Ovis aries: one gene and its partners. The protein of the gene in region 3 purifies or fractionates together with the protein of the main gene of each other region. This does not show direct contact. Links are inferred from orthologs where the notes say so. Each region holds a gene or a part of one and is shown on either strand. Other genes may lie near its edges.

The links.
Region 1: the proteins of MLF2 (region 3) and DNAJB6 purify together in Homo sapiens (affinity purification with mass spectrometry; 3 studies listed by BioGRID and IntAct, with this or other methods). This does not show direct contact. The link is inferred for Ovis aries from reciprocal best matches to the Homo sapiens genes MLF2 and DNAJB6.
Region 2: the proteins of MLF2 (region 3) and BAG2 purify together in Homo sapiens (affinity purification with mass spectrometry; 4 studies listed by BioGRID and IntAct, with this or other methods). This does not show direct contact. The link is inferred for Ovis aries from reciprocal best matches to the Homo sapiens genes MLF2 and BAG2.

The regions. Positions count from the first base shown.
Region 1 is NC_056057.1:120,185,094-120,189,247, reverse strand, and holds the start of DNAJB6 (dnaJ homolog subfamily B member 6), read right to left. Parts: upstream 2,806-4,154; 5' UTR 2,706-2,805; exon of another isoform or gene 1-2,705. UniProt on the Homo sapiens protein: Has a stimulatory effect on the ATPase activity of HSP70 in a dose-dependent and time-dependent manner and hence acts as a co-chaperone of HSP70. Plays an indispensable role in the organization of KRT8/KRT18 filaments.
Region 2 is NC_056073.1:3,189,808-3,193,314, reverse strand, and holds the end of BAG2 (BAG family molecular chaperone regulator 2), read left to right. Parts: intron 1-344; coding exon 345-454; intron 455-2,057; coding exon 2,058-2,470; 3' UTR 2,471-3,453; downstream 3,454-3,507. UniProt on the Homo sapiens protein: Co-chaperone for HSP70 and HSC70 chaperone proteins. Acts as a nucleotide-exchange factor (NEF) promoting the release of ADP from the HSP70 and HSC70 proteins thereby triggering client/substrate protein release.
Region 3 is NC_056056.1:209,529,830-209,533,884, forward strand, and holds the start of MLF2 (myeloid leukemia factor 2), read left to right. Parts: upstream 1-1,333; intron 1,334-1,380; coding exon of another isoform or gene 1,381-1,506; intron 1,507-1,850; 5' UTR 1,851-1,878; coding exon 1,879-1,928; intron 1,929-2,180; coding exon 2,181-2,307; intron 2,308-2,555; coding exon 2,556-2,591; intron 2,592-3,195; coding exon 3,196-3,249; intron 3,250-3,571; coding exon 3,572-3,700; intron 3,701-3,834; coding exon 3,835-3,994; intron 3,995-4,055. Other genes in the region: PTMS (parathymosin), read right to left, coding at 863-1,333, 1,381-1,506.

The DNA of each region.
Region 1 (4,154 bases), on a different chromosome or scaffold from region 3:
TCCTCCAGCGGACCGCCACTTGCTCTGCAAAGGAGTGAGAGCAGCTTGGCGCCCTCTCTTAGAGCTCAGACCCACTGCCCGGGCACAGCGCACCCAGCTGAGAAGAGGAGGAAGCGGGAACCTGCCGGTCCCGGAGATTCACCGCCTGTCACGGCACTTCCTACACTCCGAGAAGGACAAGCAGAGAGAAGGAGCGCGGTTCTGTAGCTGAAGCCACATGGGTCCTCGCTCACCCCTTGAAAGCTTCTCTAGTGGACGGCCTCTCCTCTCCAGCAGCATCCCTGCAGGATGACCGTGTCCGGGTTCCCAGTAAGCTGGCATATTCCCCTCACTTCCCCCCGCTACTTTTTTACTTTATCTCTTAACATATTTGACTTAAAAAAATTATTTAGTTTTAATTGAAGGATAATTGCTTTGCAGGATTGGTTGGTTTCTGTTGAATCAGCCGTAGGTGGACCCGCGTCCCCCCATCCTGAGCCTCCCTCACACACCCTACTGTTCTGAAGCCCAGATGAAGCTGGAAAGGGCTGTCTGGGGTTGAAATGGAAACTATGGTCACAGGACAGGGCTTCCCCAGCACATAGCCACCAGCAAATGGAACCCCCCCCCCCCCCGCCCAAGATGGAGCCAGGGCAGCCCCCTGACCCCCCAGCTCTAACAGACTGTCCCTTCAACACAGACCCTGCCCCCCTACTCTGAGTTCTTAGTTTCTCAGAACTCCGGGAAAATTGAAAAAGCAGTCGAATGAACAGGTGTCTTCGCCTCCATTCGCCAACTGCTGCTGCCCCTCAGCTCAGTCTTTCTTCCTTTTCCAGTTTTTGCTGAGCCATCTGAACGCGGGTTACAGACATCCTGACATTTTGCCTCCAGCTGTCTTAGCACGTATGATCTCATAAGGAAAGCTTCCTCGTGTCGAACGTCATCACTCGTAAGAAAAGAGACGTTCGTGCAAGAACGTGATCTAACGTGCAACTGAAGGGGGCCAGAGTCACCCTGGCCTTCCCAGGCGGCGCTGGTGGTGAAGAACCCACCTGTCAATGCTGTGGGTGAAGAGTAAGAAGAATGAGAGTCAGAGGTTCGATCCCTGGGTCGGGAAGGTCCCCGGGAGGAGGGTGTGGCAGCTCACCACAGCATTCTTGCCTGGAGACTCCCCAGGACAGAGGAGCCTGGAGGGCCACAGTCCATGGGTTGCAAAGAGTCAGACATGAGCGTGCATGTACCTAGAGTCAGTTCAGCTTTTATGGGGCCCCCGCAGGGATGGAAGTTGCTTTCTTCCTGTTACTCTGTCTTATGTCAGTTTAACTGTTAGACTGGCCAGAGTCTAGAAGAGCAAGGAAAGAGTTTCCTCCCCAACAGAGTCCCCAGCTGCATCCACAGCGTCTCACTTTGTTCTGACGTCGAGGAGGAGGAAGACTCCCAGCCTGTCCGAGGGAGGCCTGGCGTGGAGTGGAGTGGACGTGGGGCAGCAGGGACGTCCCGGGGCCGGTGCCCACGCAGGGGTCACCTCGGGTCAGTTCCCCAGCCTGGACAGAAGGCCTGCTCCCTCTCGTTCCCGAGTCCCCCGGCTTCGAGGGGACCACTCTCTGCAGCTGCACCCAGCACCTGTGTCTTCTGTGCCCCGTGCCCTGGAAATCAGGCCCTTTGGAAGTAGACCCTCCCAGGCCTCTCCTCCCTGGGGACGTCCATCAGAATCACCGTAGCCCTAACCCTCCCAGTACTGGCTACCCCTCCAGCCAGCACCCACAGCCCCATGCCCAACCCCCAGTGCCTTCCAGGGTCTGAAGCACAGAGTAGGTCTCCGCAAATGTTTATGGACTAGATGGGTGAATGCGTACTGACACCTTCCTGCACCCAGAGGCTGGAGATGGTGGTCCAGGAAAACCTTGGCCCAGAGGGCTCGCTCCAGCCGGAAGGATGCTGACGGCCAGCCCGGGGCCCAAAGAGCAACCTAGGGGGCCAGGGGCAATTCTGTAGCCAGAGGGCAGGCTCCGAGCTCCCTGGGTGCAGGCTCCAGGCTCACAGTCCTGCCAGCCATGGGGGTGGGGGCGTCAGGCTCAGGGGACTGAGGCCCTCTGGGGAATACTGGCGCTGAGGGGCGGGCTGCCTTTCTGTGACCCTGCCCCCCAGCAGTTCCCTGTGCTGTGCAGGCAGAGGAGGGCCACACAGACGTGCCTCAGTGCCCGGGTCCCCGGCCCGCTCCTGTCCTGTGTCCCGTTCACCCTCTGATGGACTCGGGACATTGCCTCAGCAGCCAGCTCGGCCAGCGGTCACCCTCCGGGAAGGAGAGGCCTTACTGTGCTCCGGGGTGGGAAGGAGAGGATGCAGGCAGACCACCAGCCGCTCAGAGGTGCTTAGAGGTGAAGCTTCTCAGGCTGGGGTTGCAGGAGCCCCCAGGGCTCTGAGAGCTGGGCCCCAAAGGCCCAGCAAAGGGACCCCACCAGGGGCGCGTCTGCATGCCTGCCGACGTCTCACAGTGAGCATCAGCGGCGTTAGCCATCCACGCGGGCCTGCGTTTTCCAGAAAGAAGGCAGGCCTGGGAGCCCGCCAGCCGCCCTCACTTAGACACCGCCCGGCTCTCAGACCCACAGCCGTCACCAGGATGACCCCAGGAAACCTCACACCGCTCAACAGATGAGGGGGTCAGCTCAGGACAGCCACCCGCGAGGGCTGAAAGTAAGGCGGGCTCTCGTCTGTCTGAACTGCACCTTTTTATCCAGAGTGAAGGCGCTCACGAAGCCGGGAAGCCCGACGGCTGCGTGGTCCGCCCGCCGGAGTCCCGCTGCTCCTGGGGTCGTTTCCGTTTCCGGGGGGCGGGCGGCTCGCCGCAGGCTCCAGGCCCCTTCCTCCGGGCATCAGGAGCCGGAAGTCTCGCTCACCTGACCTGACCGGCGAGCAAGCCCGCGGCCGCGCCCAGGTCTCTGGTTGCCGGGCGCCCGCTGGCCGCGGCCCACATTCCTTCCATTCTATCTGCACCCACGTGGCTCTTGGCGCCCTTACAGCAGCCGGACGCCCCTCGTCTTTCCAGCCCCTCATCACTTGGCAAGCAGTCCCGGTATTAGCAGGATTTGCGGGTCAGAACGATAGAGGCAGACGAACCAGATCCAACTGGCCGGGGTTTCAATCCTCCCAGAGCTGCAGCCGCCTCTGGAAGGGGCTGTTGGCCAGCGTCCCCGTGGGGCACGGGCGCGCTCCAGCCACCCCGGGAGAGCCGAGGCCCTCCGCCAGCTGGTGGGCCCCCTGTCCTGCCGGGGGGCGGTTCCTGGTCCTTAGGGACCCCGGGCTCGGGGTGGAAGCCTCAGTCCCGCTGGGTCAGCAGCTGACTGTTTCCAGGGAGATCTGGTAGAAACTGCCCTGCCCTGCCTCCACTTTCCCCACTTTGTTCCCTAGAATTAAGCCTCAGGGTCTAGGTTCTTGGCCATTTAGAACTGCATGCTGATTACAACAAAGTGAAATAAGTGTAACTTCTTACGTCTGTTAAGATCAGAGAAGATTTTGGAGTGATGGGAATTAATTCTTTTTCCCCCCCAAAGTTGTTTTAATTATACTACTCCCTGGAAAAGACCCTGATGCTGGGAGAGATTGAGGGCAGGAGGAGAAGGGGACGACAGAGGGTGAGGTGGTTGGATGGCATCACCGACTCGATGGACATGGGTTTGGGTGGACTCCGGGAGTTGGTGATGGACAGGGAGGCCTGGCGTGCTGCGGTTCATGGGGTCGCAAAGACTCGGACACGACTGAGCGACTGAACTGAACTGAACTGAGAATGGAGACAGCATCCCAGTCCGGCTCTGGCCAGTGGGGCGAGGTGAAGGGTAAGGTGGCAGACTTCCAGCACTTTCTTTAAGATGCCCCAACCTCCTGGAGCAGGGCCCAGATCCCCCTGCCCCGGCCCCCGGCCTGCCCCGTCCTGGACCCCCCCTCTCCTCTGCCTCGGGCCGCGTCCTGGGCAGGCACCAGGTCTCTCCTTTCTGCCCACTCCTCCTGATGAACATAGCAGGAAGTACTCCGGAATCCCAAGAAAGTTAGGATGGGAACCTCCCTGGTGGTGCAGCGGTTAAGAGTCCATGCCTTCAATGCTGGAATGAGGGTTTGATCCGGTCAAGAAGCTGAAGGCCCACATGCTGTGCAGCTGAAAGGAAAGTTAGGACCAAGCT
Region 2 (3,507 bases), on a different chromosome or scaffold from region 3:
GGGACAGGAGTCACGGGCGGGTGGTGAGGGGAGCTGGGGGCTGGGTGACAAGGGAACCCGGCGGGTCTCAGTGAAATATGCTGCTGAGTGAAGCAGGGACAGTAAACAAGTACAGGTGTTTATCTACAAATAGAAAAGCACTAAACAGAATCCTTGCCCTGTGAGCAGGGAGGCAACTAGGAGCCACGGGGCAAGTGGATGAAGAAGGAAAAAAGTACAGAATAAGAAAGAAAAAGGACTGAAGCGTTCGGGGCGTGCCCCTGATCATCCTGCCAGCTAAGCTGGAGGGAAAGGCAGAAGCGGCGCACTAGGCTTCTGTGCGCTGACCGTGTCCCCGCCCGCAGGGTGGAGGCTCTGCGGGAGGCGGCCACGGCTGTGGAGCAGGAGAAGGAGGTGCTCCTGGAGATGATCCACAGCATCCAGAACAGCCAGGACATGCGGCAGATCAGTGACGGTGAGCCCGCCGGGGGCGCGGGGGGGGGGGGGGGGCGCGCGCAGAGGACAGGAGCGGGGGGGCGCAGAGGACAGGAGGGGGGCGGGGGGGCGGGGGGGCGCAGAGGACAGGAGGGGGGCGGGGGGGGGCGCAGAGGACAGGAGGGGGGGCGCAGAGGACAGGAGCGGGGGGGGGGCGCAGAGGACAGGAGGGGGGCGGGGGGGCGCAGAGGACAGGAGGGGGGCGGGGGGGGCACAGAGGACAGGAGCGGGGGGGCGCAGAGGACAGGAGCGGGGGGGCGCAGAGGACAGGAGGGGGGGCGCAGAGGACAGGAGGGGGGCGGGGGGGCGCAGAGGACAGGAGGGGGGGCGCAGAGGACAGGAGCGGGGGGGGGGCGCAGAGGACAGGGGCGGGGGGGGGGCGCGGTGAGGCGTGACGGGGGTCAGGCACCCCTGCAGCCCTGGCTGGTGAGCCCAGGCCCGGACCCAAACCGTCACACAGCCTTAGTGGGTCAGCGTAGCCCGCTCCCCGCCCCGGCCAACCAGCAGTGAACTTGGAAAGCGTTTCGCAGAGCTGCACAGTGAGAGGATGACCCAGCACCCTCCTCGTGCTGGCTGAGACTCAGACCACAGGCCGAGTTGGTCGGACAGGATGAGGTCAGCGCCTCGTTTCAGGCCAGCCTTTCTCCTAGGGTCTTGGCTCTGTTTCCTCCACCAGAGCTGGGCACGGTGTGCTCACAGACACGGGATGTGCTGCCCAAAACATGCCTCTGCCCTAAGGATTATCGGGGCTGGTCATTTTTGAGAAACCGCAGGCACAGGAGCAGCTATGGAAATAGCTGAGGTCACAGTTTTGTAAGGGAAATGTACATTTACACTTCCTAAAGGAAACCTCCGCTTCTGAGGGGTCTCCGTGAAAACCTCACCTCTGTGGTCCTCTTTCTGAGGCCCTCGAAACTGGCCTCCCTCCCCATCTCCACCTGAGGATGGAGGCCTGGGCCATCTCCAGGAGTCACTCAGTTTCCCTGGGGGTCTCCCATGTATACATGGGGTCTACACGATAATGAGGCTCTGGTTTTGTTTTTGCTTGTTAGTCTGTCTTATTACAGGGTCTCAGCTAAAAGCTCAGACAGGCAGAAGTTACCATTTCCTCCTCTAGTGCACGTAGTCGTGTAGACGCAGGGCATCATTTCCTGCTCTGACCAGCACACCCGCCCCAGCCTCTGCAGACATGACGACCGCGGCAGTCACCCGACGTCCAGGCTGATCCTCTTCACCACTGACGCTGTTCCGTCGCTCAGTCCTGTCTGACTCCTTGTGACCCGATGGACTGCAGCACGCCAGGCCTCCCTGCCCTTCACCATCTCCCTGAGTGTGCTCAGACTCCTGTCTACCGAGTCAGTGATATCATCCAGCCGTCTCATCCTCTGCCGCCCTCCTCTCTCTCCTCTTGCCCTCAGTCTTCCCTGGCATCCTAAGTTAATCTTATTGCTAACAGTATATACCTTTAAGAAATGTATAGGTGCTCGCAGGCTAGATTTAACCACACACAAATGCCTTAGTGTTCTTGACATGGATGTAGGTGTGTCTCATATTGATTGATATTTCAAACTTTTTATGATTAGGAGAACGAGAAGAATTAAATCTGACTGCGAACCGTCTGATGGGACGAACCCTGACTGTGGAGGTTTCAGTAGAAACAATTAGGAGTCCCCAGCAGCAGGAGTCCCTCAAGCACGCCACGCGGATCATCGATGAGGTGGTCAGCAAGTTTCTGGACGACCTGGGAAACGCCCGGAGTCACCTGATGTCACTGTACAGCGCGTGTTCCTCCGAGGTGCCTGCGGGGCCGGTGGACCAAAAGTTCCAGTCCATTGTGATCGGCTGTGCTCTCGAGGATCAGAAGAAAATTAAGAGACGACTAGAGACTCTGCTTAGGAACATTGAAAACTCTGACAAGGCTATCAAGCTGCTGGAGCATTCTAAAGGGGCTGCTTCCAAAACGCTGCAGCAGAACGCTGAAGCCAGATTCAACTAGTGTTCAGACCTAACAGTCCTATAAACAATCATGTAAAAACGATAAAGAACTATCTTAAATGATAATGGTTGTGTATGTCACATATAGCTCATTTGATACTGATAGTTATTTCTGAAGAACAAAATATCTCAGTGTTGCTAGTTTTGTGAATAACAATTAAAATTAGAAATATTTTGATTACCTTTCTAGAAGTTTTTAGATTGAATTCTTGTCTTGTACTAGGATCTAGCACCTCCTGTATATCTATATTTTACTATTCTGTGGATAACAGCATGTGGGGAAACAAGTGCTTGGCTAGGGGCAGAAGCATTATGGTCCTCTCCTGGACTTTGTCTACAGACACATGGGCACACAGGGCTTTGGGCTGACCAGACAGCCTGTTCATAACGCAGCTACTCAGTGACTGACCGCGCCTCTGCTGAGAACGCGGCAGTGAGCTTGGAGGGATGGGAAGGAACCTTCGGTACACCACATCGCCTTCATTCGGCAGGTTTTTAGTCATCTATATCAAATTATTTTGAACTTAAAGACTTACACAGACCCCGCCCCTGATGTTGCCACTCTGAACAACTACTTCATCCCCTCCATCCGTTTCAAAGTGCATCATTTCTTTAAAGTTTTAATCATTAGAGAAATATGATGTTGTCATTTGCCTTTAAAAAGAAAAATGCTGTTTTAAAGTTTGCTTTTAATTCTCGAAAACCTCTATCCTGTGTAGTTAGACAATTTGCCTCCCATTCCACTCACTGAACGTTTACGTGGTTTCCAGTTTGTTGCTTATCAATGCAACAGATTGATGTACACCAAGCTTTTCCCTTCTTTTGTTTCCTATTTTCTTCATATAAATTCTTAGCAACTGGTTTTACTGAGTCAAAGGGTGTATGCATTTTCATGGCTTGATATGTTTCCAAAGTTTTTTTTGTATGAGAGTTATATCAATTTATATGTCTTCAATAATTAAAAAGTAGCTGTTTCACTGAAAACTTTGCAGCATTTGAGCATTTTTCCTAATACTACATATGAAATACTTTTATTTA
Region 3 (4,055 bases):
TAAAGAACCAGGCGAGCTGGCGTCTGGTTGAGTCCGGTCTAAAGTCCAGCCCAGACAGCCCAAATCCCTGGACACCCAGGGGGAGGGCCCTTCTCTCCAGTTGGGCAGGATTTTATGCAACACATTCAGTATGTCAAAGTGTCAGCCTTTGGCCTTCGAGTCAGGTCTCCTGGGCCTGTTTGCAACTCTGCCCCTCGGTGAGCTTGGTGAACGGGGAGCGCTCTTCTCCCTCGACCCACCTACCAACCTGCCTGACTAGAGAAGAAAAACAGTGCGGACTGGGAGCTCCTGAGGATACTCAGAGAAAGGAAAGGGGAGGTTGGCATTCAATGAAAAGATTTCAGAACTCTCTCCCTAGTCTGACTCCTCACAGCAGGGTAACTGGGGGCGGCGGGGTGGTCGCGGGGTGGTCGCGGGGGGGGGGCGGGTGGGCGGGTCTCTAGAGCCCCGCCAACTCCAGTTCCCCAGGGGCTGCAGTTCCAGCCCGGCCGAAGGGCGCCATCTGGCGACCAGACCCCCAGCCTGGATCCTCCGTGCCCCAGCCCGAGTTCTCAAAGCCAGAGGAAGACCTGGGCAGCACTGTCACCTCCTCCCGCTACGTCACTCCGAGGGGACGCCGCCCCGGCCTGGAACGCGCCTCCTCCCGAGGGGACTGGCCCCAGCGCCTCCCCCGCAGAATTGCCGTCCTTCCTCCATCTCGGGATGAACGCTTCCCCGGTAGAAATCTGCTGAAAGTTCTCCCCAGGGATCCGCCCCACCTCGTCACCCACTGAGAGCCTGCCCTGTCCGGGGGAATCTGCCCCCGTCCTCTTCCCCCCTCTTCCCCTCCCGGCGATGGACTCCGCTGCTCCTTCCCCAGCACCCTGACAGGGAGCCTCCTCGGGGCCACAGAACCCAAGTCCAGGTTACTAACGAGGCCTCCACTCCCCAAGTCCCAGAGGACCCCGAGGTCCCCAGCAGCTAGGCCTGAGAGCCGCCCCGCGTGCGCCCCACGCCCGCCGGTGGGCGGAGCTCCGCAGGCCCGGCCTGGGGTGGGCTGTCCCATCGTGACGTCACTTCCGTCCGGGCCTGGCTGGGGTTCGGGCTCCGTGGGCCGACGGGCGGAGGGTGCACGGAGGTGGCAGCTGTGAGAGGAGGCGGTGCGGGAGGCCGAGGAGCTCACGCCCGGACCAGTCCCGCGTCCCGGGCCGCTAGCCCCGATCCTGCCGCGCACGAGAGGCGAGACCGGCCGGATGGGCCGCTGAGCCCGGACCGGGGACCGGTGAGGCTCGAGCGGAGCGGGCAGCCGGTTCCGGGCGGGAGCGGCCCGCCGGGCTGCAGGGTCCCCGGGAGCCTGGGATGCGGGGAGGGGAGCGGGTCAAGCCTGCCTCTCCTGCTCACCCGGCAGGAAAGCAGGGTTCGGGGTGAGGGGGCAAGGCTCCAGGCGCGGCGGGGACGGTGAGGCCCACCCGGGGGAGGTCTGGCGGCGGCCGGGATGTGAGGAGGGAGCGGAGTGGTTGGGGTCATTTATGGGGCGGGGGTGGGGGGTGGCACTTGAGATTCGCATCCGGAAAGGTGGCGTCGGGGGTTGGGGGAGTGTGCCTTTGGCGGTGGCTTTGGGAAGAGGATGGCTCTGAGTGGGGGAGGCAGAAAACAGGCTCGGGAAAATTTTCCACGGTCCTCCTTCGGAGAGAGGGTTGAAGAGCTCTGCTCTCCCTAGAGGCTGATGTTGAACACCTGGAGAAGGGTCTCCCTGGAGTTTGGGGGCCAGTTACAGTGTTTGGAAGGGACCACGCTCTGAGAGTCCCTGCCCTGAGGGGTGTGCAAAAAGCCTGGCCCCTTCCAACCTTTGAGCCTCCACATCTTCACAGCGTGGAGCTCCCTGGAGCTGAAATCAGGATGTTCCGCTTCATGAGGGACGTGGAGCCCGAGGACCCCATGTTCCTGATGTGAGTATCCCCTCCCCCTCTTGCTCCAGAGCACACATCGGTCCACTTAGTCTCTGAGTAGTTGAGACAGACACCTGGGCTCCTGTTGCAGGCTCGGATCACACCTGGGTGGCCACTCTAAGCTCCAGCTTAGACTTGGAGGGGATGTCTGTGCCACTGGTTCCCTATGGCTCTTTTCTTTGGGGCTTGGGGGAGGAGGGAGGTGCTCACCGCTGCCCCTTCTGCCACCTGCTCTGTACTCTCCCTGCACAGGGACCCCTTTGCCATTCACCGTCAGCACATGAACCGGATGTTGTCAGGGGGGTTTGGATATAGCCCCTTCCTCAGCATCACAGATGGCAATCTGCCAGGGACCCGGCCTGCCAGCCGCAGGATGCAGGTAATGGTGCTGCCACAGACCTGAGACTGTGGTGGGAGGGTGGTTAATGCAGTGCTTCATTTTTCTTGCATGCTGGCTGACTTAGCAAGTGGCGTGCCTTCTAGGAGTGGGGAAAAGGGTGTGGAAGACAGGCTTTGCGATGCTCCTTTGAGAGAAGGATGGAAAAAAGCAAGGGAGGCCATGGGCTTGGTTTGGGAGGGTGAGGTCGCATGTGGCCTCTAATTTCTATTCCTGACATGTTCCTGTAGGCTGGGGCTGTCTCCCCTTTTGGAATGCTGGGAATGGTAAGTCTTCATCTCCCTGCATCCTTCCATTTCAAACTTGCTCTGTAACCCTTAGATATTAGTTCCAAATTTGCCTCTCTGAAATATAGACTAATGGGTAACCCTAGAGTCGTCATGTGCTCACAGATCTCCGGGCCTGCTGTGTGCTGAGTCCTGTGAGCTGATGACGCTAACTTACTGACTCCTGTGCTTCTAGGAGTCATCCCCATTAGGGAGATATAATTGCCTGGCAAGATGTCTTCTTTTGAGGAGGGAGGTGCTGTTGGAGGGCCAACTAGAGATGTATAGGAGATTTTTCTACAGCTTCAGAAACAACCACTTTATAGGTTAGACTCCAGTAACACAGACTTGCTTCCTAAAAGTAGGAGGAAATAGGTCAGGCAGGCAAGAAGAAGATGGGATCCTAGTAGCCACAGAGCCTGAGGAGGAGGGCGGGGTGGGTGGGAAGAGAAGCGCAGAGAGGCACACTTGTTCTGCTCCTGCTCAAGAGGAATGAGGAAGAGCCACTGCCAGATGTGAAGGAAGGGGAGAGAGGGACCATGTAGCCAGGTGGCCTGTGGGAGCCTGAATTCGACCACCTGACTCGGTTTCCTTTCTGCTCCAGTCAGGCGGCTTCATGGACATGTTTGGGATGATGAACGACATGATCGGCAACATGGTGAGGGTCTTGTGTCCCGCCTCCCCTGGCGAGTCCCTGGAGGTGGGAGTGGGGAAGGCTGTGCTCACAGAGGCCTGCAGGCTAGATAAGAGGGCCAGACCCGGAGAGCGCAGGGGTCCTGAGTAGGAAGCAGCGGCAGGCATCTCATGAAATGGGCAGTTAAGGCTCGGCCTCTCCAGATCTGCCTGGCTTATTGTTGGACTCAGAGGGATTGAGGGGGTGATGGTGAGTCCTCACGTTTGCTCCGGGGCTGCAGGGAGGGATCCCTGCTCCGGAATCCAGGCCCTGCCCACTCAGCCGTGCAGTTCCCTTCCCTCCCCAGGAGCACATGACAGCCGGAGGCAATTGCCAGACCTTCTCCTCCTCCACTGTCATCTCCTACTCCAACACCGGCGACGGGGCCCCCAAGGTCTACCAAGAGACGTCGGAGATGCGCTCGGCCCCAGGCGGGGTGAGTTGGAGGGCTCCTTCTATCCCAGGGAGGCACGGTCGGGTGGCCTGGCTGGCTCCTTTCAAAGTGTTTCCAGCCTGGCGTAGTTAGGTTTGGAAGGATCCACTGAGCATGTGGCGCTCCGCCTCCCCCAGATCCGGGAGACCCGGCGGACCGTGCGCGACTCCGACAGCGGGCTGGAGCAGATGTCCATTGGGCATCACATCCGGGACCGGGCTCACATCCTCCAGCGCTCCCGAAACCATCGCACGGGGGACCAGGAGGAGCGGCAGGACTATATCAACCTGGACGAGAGTAAGCCCCCTTCTGGCTCCAGCCTGCCGGCTTCCTGCCACCAGCTCCTAGCCCCCCGTCT